Caenorhabditis elegans: one gene and its partner. The protein of the gene in region 1 interacts with the protein of each later gene in a pairwise test. Each region holds a gene or a part of one and is shown on either strand. Other genes may lie near its edges. The genes, in order: npp-1 and puf-8.

Region 1 (6,189 bases):
GAATTACAGTTGATTTCAAGAAAACCAAAAAATGTTGAAAAAAAAGAGACCCGAAGAACTCGGGGGATGTCCAACTGGGGGGATTACCAACTCGGGGGATTGGCCCCGCCCACAGAACCGTGGCTTGCAATACGCCCATTTTTGCAACTGAATTTTTGCAACTAAAATTATTTTTTCTTGTTAATTCTCGCTCTATTGAGAAAAATACAGTTTTAAAACCGTGCGGCAGTTGCAGAAATGGGCGTATTGCAAGCCACGGTTCTGTGGGCGGGGCCAATCCCCCGAGTTGGTAATCCCCCCAGTTGGACATCCCACGAGTTCTTCGGGTCTCAAAAAAAAGGTTTTTCAAAATAATTTTAATCTAAAATTATTTCTTGAATACTTATTTGTGGCATGAATTTCAATTGAATACTATCAGAGGTTTTGGAAATGTGATACAATTTTTTTGGTTTTCAAAATTTCCAGCAATTGCGCCCATACCGTCTACCTCGTTATTTTCGGAATTTTGGCGGGAAGACGCAGATTGCCTCAAAATGCAGGCAGGCGTTTTGTGTCTACGCGGAAAGCTTACTCTGAAACATACTGAAACTACTACTACTACTCTGAAACTACTCTGAAACTCTTCTTTAAGATTATTGTCGGATGGGGAGTGGCAAGATTCGGGCTGTTCCAATGGATTGCCCCGCAGAATGTGAAAAATGATGTGTTGAACTATATTGGAATTGCATTGACAATCGTGAGTGGAGTTCTTTTGATATTCGTGAAACACGTGGAAACGGAGCCAGAAAATGAATATGATGTGACCAGCAAGGAAATGGAACATCAAGAAGAGATTGAGCAAAGACTCAGCAATTCAGAAAGAGATTCTTCATTTGATATGGCTGGTTTGGCAAAGAAATTACCGTTCGTTGGGCATGCTTAGAAATTTAAAAAAAAAACGAATTTTCAGTTATATCCTTATGGCAATGGTTCTTGCGTGTCTACATGGTTTGATGATGTCACCGATTGAATATTTGAAGCAACAGAATCCACCAACTGATAGTTTCCAAGTGTTTGACTATATTTTCCCATTCTACACATCAGTATTCCTCTTCTCTACACTGTATTTCTTCGCGTATTGTGTAATTTTGCGTCGAAAAGCCTACGTGGAAAGGAATTTGATAATTCCATCGATTGGGTACGGTATTTTATGGACTACAGGTAAGAGATGCGTGGTCGATTGTTCAAATGTTTAGTTCTTCAGGAATGACACTTTGGTTTGTCTCCAGTGATAAATTATCTCAAGTTGTTGCCTATCCATGTACCGCCCGTCTTCCACCGTTAATTAGTGGAGCTCTTGATGTATTTGTATTCAAGAGTATTCAAGGAACCCGATCATATGCTACGTTGGCAATTTCTTCTGTTATTGGTGTCATTTCGGTGATTATGATTGCTTTGTCTAATCAGATTTAATTAGAACAGAACCGAACGATTTATTGATCTCATCTCAAAATGTTGTATTATATTTGAAATAAAGTATTATTCGTATCGTTTAAACGATCGTTTGGTTTAAAAAAAAAATTTTTCAACAAAACAACTGGAAATCTAAAGAAGTTACTATTGATATCTTTTATATCGAAATTCAATTTAAGAATTCTTGATTAAAATGAGTTATCAAATTTTCGCAAAATACGAAGTAACTGAATACCTGAAACATGCATTTCTTTTCACGGTTGAATGTTCTTCGGAATATGTATTCTTTCATCTTCGAGGAGGGTGCCAGCAAACGCGCCCCTTCGTACACAGACAAAATTCGAAAAAATTTGCACGCCAAAGCGTCCCCAAAAATCGATTTAATTCGGCTCATTGTCTTATTTATATTATTATTTTCATTCTAGAATTCTCGCATTAACTACATATGTGTTCTTTTTCTTCTCACAAGCCCCATTTCTCTTAAAAATCGTTTGTTTTCAGCGAAATGTCACTTTTCGGGTCATCTACTCCCCAAAAACAGGCATTTACGTTTCCAACGCCGAATGCTCCAACAACATCGTCTGGAACTTTGTTTGGAAGCACGTTAGTATTTTAAGAAGTATTATTTTTATACAAAAATATTATTTTCAGAACGCCATCAAAGCCTCTGTTCGGTTCAACTGCTCAGGCTTCATCAACGCCTTCGCTTTTTGGAACAACAAATACCTCTACTCCTTCTGGAGGATTGTTTGGAAGTAAGTTTGATATTTTTACTTTTACACAACTTACTTCGTAATCAAAGTTGCATTTTAAACCGAAATATATTAAATTTCAGAGACAGGCACTTCAACTACTACCACTTCAACTGCTGGAACTTTGTTTGGTGCTGCTCCAACCACTTCAACAGCTACTCCAAGTCTTTTCGGTGCTTCTACAACCGGTAAGCTACTCAAAATTATCGATATTTTCGGTCACTTCTACTTAGTTTATACTATTAGCTGTTGTGTGGTCTCGTTGAGAGAAAAGCTAGACAATGATAAGGAGGGGAAATCGATAAATCATATTGATCGAAGTAATACATTTTGGACCAAAAAATTATATTCTAAATTCCAGCAACAAATGAATGAAAAAAGAAAATAGACTCAATATATTTTTTGATCTGACAAATTATTTGACCTACCAAGGTTCTACTTCTGTGATTTGCGCTTAATTTTTATTCAAAATTGTTATTTCTCTCCTATCGCTCTACTTCTCTCGTCGTCATTGTGTTCGTTACCTTCACTTTTCTCTGTCGTGGTCGGTGTCGTGCGGATTTCTTTGCCTGTTCTTCTATCACCCGTGTTGCTCTTTGCTACTCGTTTTCTTCGTCTCGAGCGTCTGCAGAAATGTTTGCCCGACGTGGGGGCATCACCGGAATCAAAGCAGAAGACATGCCGAAGAATCTTCCAAATCTTCCCGATTTACCTACGACATCAGCATCTCAAGCTCCAGCCCCAGCAACCCAGAATGTTAGTTCACCAGCCCGTCGCAATTTGTTTGGAGCACCCAATGACGCTAACCGCACGCTTTTCACAAATTCTCCGGCATCTGGAACCACTTCTGGAACTTCAGGACTCTTCGGAACATCATCAACGACATCTGGAGGTCTCGGCGGTATTGGATCCACACAACAAACTGCCAAATCACCCGTTGCCACAAGATTGGCAGCATTCAAATCAGGAACTTTGGGGGCTGGTAGTCTTTCTGGTAATACTCCAACATCTTTTGCCACACCATCTGCGTTACCAGGAACTAATGCCCCACAGTCATCTTTTCTATCACCGGCAAACAACTTGAATGTGGCTCCAGCAGCTTATCGTCCTCCCTACTCAACATTTGGAGGTTGGTATTCATCAACTTTGTATTAGCTTTTCATATTTCTAGAATTGAGTAGACTTGGTGGGTCAGATCAAAAACCGAATAAAAAAAAAAAAAACTAAACCTAATATTAAATCTTAAAAATAATTAATTTAGATATGTCTAATTAGCTTTAAAACATTGCTTCAAGTATTTTATCGTGAATCTGGAATATAATTGTCTAATTAACGAACTTTGATAATTTTGATGGCTCAATTTTCAGGATCGACCCCATTCGGAGCAGCGTCGACTGGAACAGCCGCGGGATCAACGCTTTTTGGATCGAGTACTGCAAAGCCAGCTACAGGCGGATTTTTTGGTTCCAGCTCAGGGTCTACTCTTGGTGGTCTTGGAGCAACTCAACAACAACAACAGCCTGTTGTTCAGCAGCAACAAGTTATTCAGGTAATTAAATGAATCTTAAGAATATCTGAGCGCTTTTCCAAATAAAATTTTTTCAGCAGTATCACCCATTTGTGAAAGCTGTCGGAGATCCAAAGCTCTTTGGAAATGATAATGATGGAGTTGTTGCTAAGTTGAATCAAGTTGCTGCCGGTTTGGGTGTCGGAAAAGCTCCATACAAAGATGGAAATCAGCTTCTATCGTTTTCAATGGAAGGAAACTTGTTTGAACGATTTGTTGTAAGTTTATTTTATAAATCACTGAAAACTTGCACAGTGTCACGTTTCAGGGAATCGGATACAATCGTATTTCGGAGCGAACCGACGATGAGGGATTTGTAACTTTGGTGCTGCGTCATCCTATTACAAACTTGAACACAGAAGAACGCCGTGACAAAATTCTTGAAATTATCAAAGCTATTCTTGGTGGCGGACCAAATGTAGAAGTTCGATATGCTCCTGGTACTTCGATGAGAACACTTTCTGATGGATGCACAGAAATCTGTATTATCGCCAAAGAAGGCGGATTTGTTGCAGGAGCTATTAAACTTGCTCAAATCCTCAATGATGCTCCAAAAATGACCCAATTAGAATCGCAGTTGCAAGTGGATAAAACAAGGGTTCTTCCTAAAGTTGGAATGTCGAAAGCACAAAGAGATAGATATTTGGAGACAGTTCCTGATGGTTAGTTTACTCGTTATTTTTACTATGTTTATCATTTATTAACAAAGATTTTCGTTTTCCTCCCTCGCATTGTATCAAATTTCATTCATTTCAGGAATCGATGAGCGTATTTGGAGACAAGCAATCAAAGAAAACCCAGCTCCAAACAAACTTCTTCCTGTTCCAGTACGTGGATGGGAAGCATTAAGAGACAGACAGAAGGCTCAAGTTGGCGAGTCGAAACTATTCCACGAGGCAATTAATGCATTGGGAAATCGTGTTGAAGAAGCTAATGTAAGTTGTTATAACTTGATGAAAGTTTACAAATGTCATACATATTTCAGCATGAACATGCAGATGCAGTTGTTAAGATGGAGATTATTCGTAATCGCCATAAAACTCTCTCGTACAGAATTGTTCGTGTTATGCTTGCACAATGGATTGTATCAAGATATTCACGTCAAATTGACACTGATGAGGATGTAATTGAAGCTAAAGCTGATACACTTCTTGCCCAAATGAATCGTCATAATCAAGTGAAGGTGAGAAAAAATTATGATTTAATTTTGTATAAAACAATTAATTTCAGTTTTATGTCGACAAATTCTACGAGATTTTGGAATCAAAACCGGATAAACTTCAAGAATCAATGTGGAAAATGTTTGATATGACAATTGAAGATGAACACTATGCTCGTAGAGTGCTTACCAAATTTGTTAATATTTGCTCTGGCCTTTACGAGTCAACACATCAACAAATCGAAAGTCTTGAAGCTTGTAGAAGGGCTCTAGAAGGATAATTTATTTTTTAGAAAAGATTTTCTGAAAATCTTTTTTTCAGATTTTCTCGTATTAATTTAAAAATTCGCTCATTTCTTTTGTATCATCATTATTTTCTTTCAAACTCTGACAGGTTTCTGGTTATTTCTGTTTCGACCTAAGATGTGTGGCAGAAAATTGTTTTTAAAACTTATACATATTGAGCAAAAAAGCTCGCTTTTTTCTATGTTCGCCTGTCATCACGAGTACATTTTTTCATAAAATATGCCTCATTCTTGGTTGTAACTGTTGATCTGACCTCCTCAAATTGTTAATTGTCTTATTTCACACACTGTTTAATAGATTGAATTAATTCATCTCAAACTTCTATCTAGAATAAATTTGATCTCCATTTTTCTGTTTGAGTTTTGTCAAATAACGGTTGTCTCCCGTTCGAATTTCTGCGATTTTCAAATAATTAGAATCACATAAAAACTATTGCAAAATGTATCTCAGAAAATGGACGATGAAGACAATGATGAAAAGAGACGTCAACGTTCAGATGAAGCTCGTCGAGCCGCGATGAGGCAAAAAATTCAAGATCAGAGAGAAAGAGATCGTCAAATTGCTGCTGACATTGCTAATGTTGACAAAAAAACGACAAAACGCATTGTATTTGAAGATTCGGATGATGGGGATGATCAGGATGAAGAAACAGAAAAAACAGCCGCGAATGGTGAAAAGGTTGGAAGTTTTTCAATTTTTTGAGATAAAAATCTCTTATAACAGCAATTGCCCGATTTCATAAAGTTGTTTGCTGTAAAGACAATACTCGTAAACTAAGTTGGAATAATTCAGAAAACCTCGCGCAGTTCAAAACGTCCAAAACTCTTCGATTCTGAAGATGAAAACGATAAAGATGAGGAGGAAGATTTTGAAATCAAAAATAGACACTCTGGTCCTAAAGGTATTGTCTAAAATTAAAATAAATTAAACCAAAACTATTTTTCAATTTTTAG
Region 2 (4,825 bases), on another chromosome or scaffold:
TTGATCTCGTTCTCGTTCATCAACAATAATCGATATAAGCCCTTCAATTATCGAATCAATAACAGTATTCCGTTTGCAATCTAACATAGTTGACTTGAAAATTATTTTGTGTGCGACGTCAAAAAGTGCTATCGCTGCAGGCTCTGCTCTATATGTGACTTCGGTGAACACTCTTCTTATACGAGCTGTCAGAACATCCAACGGAACTTCTTCTGTAACATGATTGTCTTATAACGTTTATATATACTCACAAACAAACCAATCGTCAAAAGATTGAAGTCCTCTTCATTTAAATCCAGCTCCTTCTGTTCTTGTATGACTTCTTCATTAATTTCATCTTCTCCGTTTGCATCATCACTTTGTTTACTTACTGAGCTCTGAATAGGCTCATCGAAACTGTCGTTTTGAGGTTCGTTAGCTTTCGATGAAGCTTCTTGAGAATCAAAACTGTCTTCACACGCAGGTTCTTCAAAACTATCTTCATCGTTATCCTCTTCTACCATATCATCGAAAAGATTTCCGAGATGATCACCAGACTCCATCTCAAACATTTAGATTTGTGCGAAAACGGTTTTCAAGTAATTCAAGATATATAAGGGAGATATATAAACATCTTTAAAACAAATGTTCAACAACTTTTTTTTCAAATTTTTATGCTAAAATAAGATTAGGAAAAAATTACAAAACGAGTAACATTACAAATTACGATAAGCTGTCTACAGAAATGCACAGGGAATAACAAAAAGAACCGGTATAACAACCGGATTTGAGATAACTAAAGGTACATTTGTGAGGAGTTGAGTGTTGGGAATAGTACAAAACTGATTGGGCTAGTGAGATCCCTGCATATCTTGGTATGGATAGCTCATGACAGCCGGCTTTTGAAAATATTTTTCAAGTTTTGCTGCAAATTAAGGTTGAATATTATTAAATCATTCTTTGCAATATCTTACCAAGAATGTGCTTTCCATGAGGGAATTGTCTCAAAACGGGAATGTGTGGACGAACAGTTAGGATGAGTTCACGGCGCTGTTCTGATGTAACCTGATCGAACATTTTCTGAACAACGTAGTTGGCGTACTGATCTTTCATCATTTGGACAACAATCGGTACAGATCTGAATGAAATAATTATATCTACATTTTTCATGAATATACATACCCTTCCTGATGGTGACACGCAGCTCCTACGATCATGGACTTGTGATAAACTGCGCCTTGTTCCAAACATTTTTCGATAACGTTCGACGAGTACTTGTGGGTGGCAAACTCGAATAGATTGTTGGAGACACGAGTAACAATAACCATTCTATCCTCTTCACTTCCATGTTCAATGACGTGTTGAACCACATAGTTTCCGTACTGATTATTTGCAATTTCGTCGAAACGTTTATGAATTTGGCCGATAACAGGCTTCGTCTGCGAAGGACTGCAGTGTTCGAGACAACGTTGGACAACACGACAACCGTAGGGATCCACAGACATCTCGTAAATTGTGTTGCTGGATTCTAGAAGCGTATCGACAATGAATTGGACGTACTGTGGACTGACTTTCTCTATGGCCTTCTGAACCACGTGGTTTCCATTTTGATCTTTCATACAACGATGGATGACGTGTCGGATTTGAGAAAGAATTTTTATTTGAAGTGGCTCATTGATTTTTTCCAAAGCTTTCTGAAGAACACGGCAGGCATACATTTGAAACGCGTATTCTGGTACACGATCAATTATTGCATCGACGAGCCGAGCCCAATGCCTTTCTTCGCCATATTCGAAGAATTTCTGCACTACGTAGTTGCCGAAAATATCATCAACGAGCTCATCAGCATTGGAAACGACTTCATCAAATATAGAGTCCTTCTCGAATCTGTCCTTACTGGAAGCAAGTTCCTGTTGAATGAATCTCGAGCCAACTTGATCTTTGGCAAACTTCAACAGTGCTCCACGAATGTCTGATAATTTTAAATTCTTCATCATGGCTGGATTTGCACGATATCTAGTTAGAAGATCGTCGGTGGTTGTTGGTTCCCTGAAATATACAAATATTTAAACTATTTTTGAGTTTAGAAAAAAACCTGTAGGGATTTGAAAATATGCCTGTGGCAGACGGTTGAACCGGTACACGAATACTTTGAGAATGCGCTTGGTGCATTTGTAAATCATTATATGCTGTAAAAACGGAGAATTTCCATATTCGAAATATGTTTTTACTAACCTTGTGCTTGTAGCATTTGTGTCATTTGATTCGAAAACATATTAGAACCATTGTATTGATGATTCATGTAGTTGTTATTGATAGTACTCAAGACATGACCGACATTAGAGCTGATTGGAATATTTTCTTGAGCACAATAACACGATGGTGGAGTTCCGAACATGTGCAATGTATTCTGGCCAATTACTTTTCCTCCTTGATGCATGTAAGTGGCAAATTGAAACTCTGGTGTATCGGGAAGGCGTTCATTTTTTGGATTGGTAGAAATATGACGGCCATACGATCTCTGAAATCATTGTTTTATTGAAAATTTAATTGACAAACACTGCGGCAAATCTATCAGTGTGATTTATTGCATGAACATTGTATTTCTATTCAAAATAAAAAATAATTTCAATATTGCAATAAACAAGACTCACAATCGGAGATCCGCATACACTATCCACTATTTTCTGAGCACCGATGCTCCTCCCAAGAGATTCAATCGGAGAAGCTGAAGGATCAAATGTGCATGTATTCCCAATTGAAATCGGACGACTCATCAGGAACGCAGATTACCCCTAAAATAATTACTTTAGGTCAAGGAGGCATAGTTCAGCTTGAAAAAACAATTGCAACGCGTACTTTATTTATTTTTATTAATTAAAATAGTTGCACATGAGAATTTAGAACATTAAAATGAGAAAACAATGAAAAACAATCAAAAATCACTATTTAGAACAGGAGTTCCGTATTTATTCGGATAATTTTCGAACGAATACCGTAGTCGTGGTGTTCGTGGTGAAACCCATTTCTCCATTAAATGCATGTTCCTTTAAATTATTGAGGTTCCGCACGCACTTGAGAGTCCATGGAAAGGAGAACTGGTGAAAAACTTAATATACGAAAAGGTAATATGCTGAAAGGAGGCGTGGCATGTAGGAGAGTAGAAAAAACATTTTTTTCGACTTTTTGAAAAAATAGTAGGCTTGGATTATGTAGTTTCAATATGGTGTCGGGTACTGTATTTTCTGAAAACCCATGTGATTCGAGTTCGCGGCGAGACCTAATTCTTCAGGGACCTAATTTTATACGAATCCCAAGCTGACCTAGTGAAGACCCTGTGTAGATGTAACAGTAAATGTAAACATAGCATTTATATTAATCTCCGTTTTTCTGGAGATCAAATGCTAAGTAGATCAATTGAATATACTTGTGCTCTCAGAGATACCTGCTCCAAAGTCGATATTTCCTCACTCTCAACTCTTCAGAACTGGCAGAAAGTGTATGAATGAGTGTTGTTATGCATAGTATTGAATATTCTAAATTTATTTTCCATGTGCTTTGTGCTTAACATAGCTTGACCGTTTTGATTCTTTCTTTACAATGAAATGGATATACATCTTCATCTTTTTATTCTCGGGAGTCGAATGACCGTTTCAAAAACTTCAAAGTGTGTAGAGCATGCAAAAGCAAACAACGTGAAGATTCTCGACAAATTTAGTTTTTTTTTTTCTTCCCGACCGTCCGTTCGCCGGCCATCGTATCAAATTTCCTCCCACCTCTATTTCATTGTCATCTCCATTCCAACCCCTTTCTGACCTTTAACGAGAATTAGATTTTGTCTGTTTGTGTATATTTAATTTTGGAAAACAAAGCCTCACATCGAAAAAGGTTGCAGGCTGGCCGATCGTACGAGCGTATTGTGTGTGTGTACGAACATAGAGCGTCCGATTGCATAAGGTTCGTGTAAAGCAGCTTCCGGCCGTGGGAACAACACCATAGTTTGTGTGCCGAGAAGCGACGCCCCTTGTCTCCTCACAGTCCCATCTTTGTTCTTGCTTCGTAACTTGAACTCATCACGACCAAATAGAGTCTTTGACTAGGTGTACCCTTTGGTTGCCATGGTTAAAAGTCTTCATTATTTTATATTACCTTTAATTGGTAATGCCCTAATTCTAAATACACCACCTGAATATCAACCTGGATATGGTTATGTTGGACCAGCATGTGCTGTATTTGTAAGCATTCGTAGAAAACAATTTGAAAATATCTTCCAAATCTTTCAGGACAGTACCCTATTCCTTCATGGTGTTTCCAAGCGAAAGTTGAATGATCACGAACTACACATATTTAGTTCGTATCAGCATGATCTAAGTGCATTCAAAGAGTTTGTCATTCTATTCTCGATTGTTTTGAAAATTAAGCGTTTTACAGTTCATCATCTTCATTTGATTCTTTCGAAGCCTCGTTTCCTACAATTCCAAAATTCTGTGGAGGGTATGATGATTCTATTGAAGTGGTGTTGGATTCTTGTATTGTTCGAGTAAGTTTTTTTTTCCAATTGTGTATAGTTAGAACCATCTGGTTTTAATGTAAATCTTCAATATTACGGTATCAGGGGTCGACACGATCGGAAATTGATAGGTCAAAGACGCTTCGAGACCAATTACCGTATTCTTTTGTCAGAATCTATGAAATAGTCACTTCACTTTTTAATTACTACAATTAACAAATACGGTTTTTTTCTAGAATAATCACGTCTACGTTGGAGATCATCTTATCCGACCATTAACAAACTTTGAGAAACAGAAAATACAGTTAGTTAAAATGAGACGAATGTATGGAGAAT

Evidence for each region.
Region 2: the proteins of npp-1 (region 1) and puf-8 interact in a two-hybrid assay, tested with the Caenorhabditis elegans proteins (one study listed by BioGRID).

The regions. Positions count from the first base shown.
Region 1 is NC_003282.8:9,856,535-9,862,723, forward strand, and holds npp-1 (Nucleoporin Nup54 alpha-helical domain-containing protein), read left to right. Parts: upstream 1-1,953; 5' UTR 1,954-1,957; coding exon 1,958-2,055; intron 2,056-2,103; coding exon 2,104-2,207; intron 2,208-2,287; coding exon 2,288-2,392; exon of another isoform or gene 2,393-2,837; coding exon of another isoform or gene 2,838-3,063; coding exon 3,064-3,333; intron 3,334-3,571; coding exon 3,572-3,753; intron 3,754-3,809; coding exon 3,810-3,989; intron 3,990-4,039; coding exon 4,040-4,433; intron 4,434-4,527; coding exon 4,528-4,706; intron 4,707-4,756; coding exon 4,757-4,954; intron 4,955-5,001; coding exon 5,002-5,211; 3' UTR 5,212-5,577; downstream 5,578-6,189. Other genes in the region: K07F5.12 (Transmembrane protein 144 homolog), read left to right, coding at 632-903, 950-1,200, 1,244-1,452; K07F5.14 (NUC153 domain-containing protein), read left to right, coding at 5,690-5,914, 6,029-6,137.
Region 2 is NC_003280.10:7,295,474-7,300,298, forward strand, and holds puf-8 (PUM-HD domain-containing protein), read right to left. Parts: upstream 2,775-4,825; 5' UTR 2,757-2,774; coding exon 2,634-2,756; intron 2,501-2,633; coding exon 2,215-2,500; intron 2,169-2,214; coding exon 2,075-2,168; intron 2,029-2,074; coding exon 1,162-2,028; intron 1,118-1,161; coding exon 954-1,117; intron 905-953; coding exon 831-904; 3' UTR 642-830; downstream 1-641. Other genes in the region: C30G12.6 (uncharacterized protein), read right to left, coding at 1-212, 260-542; C30G12.1 (uncharacterized protein), read left to right, coding at 4,098-4,214, 4,263-4,363, 4,411-4,519, 4,726-4,825.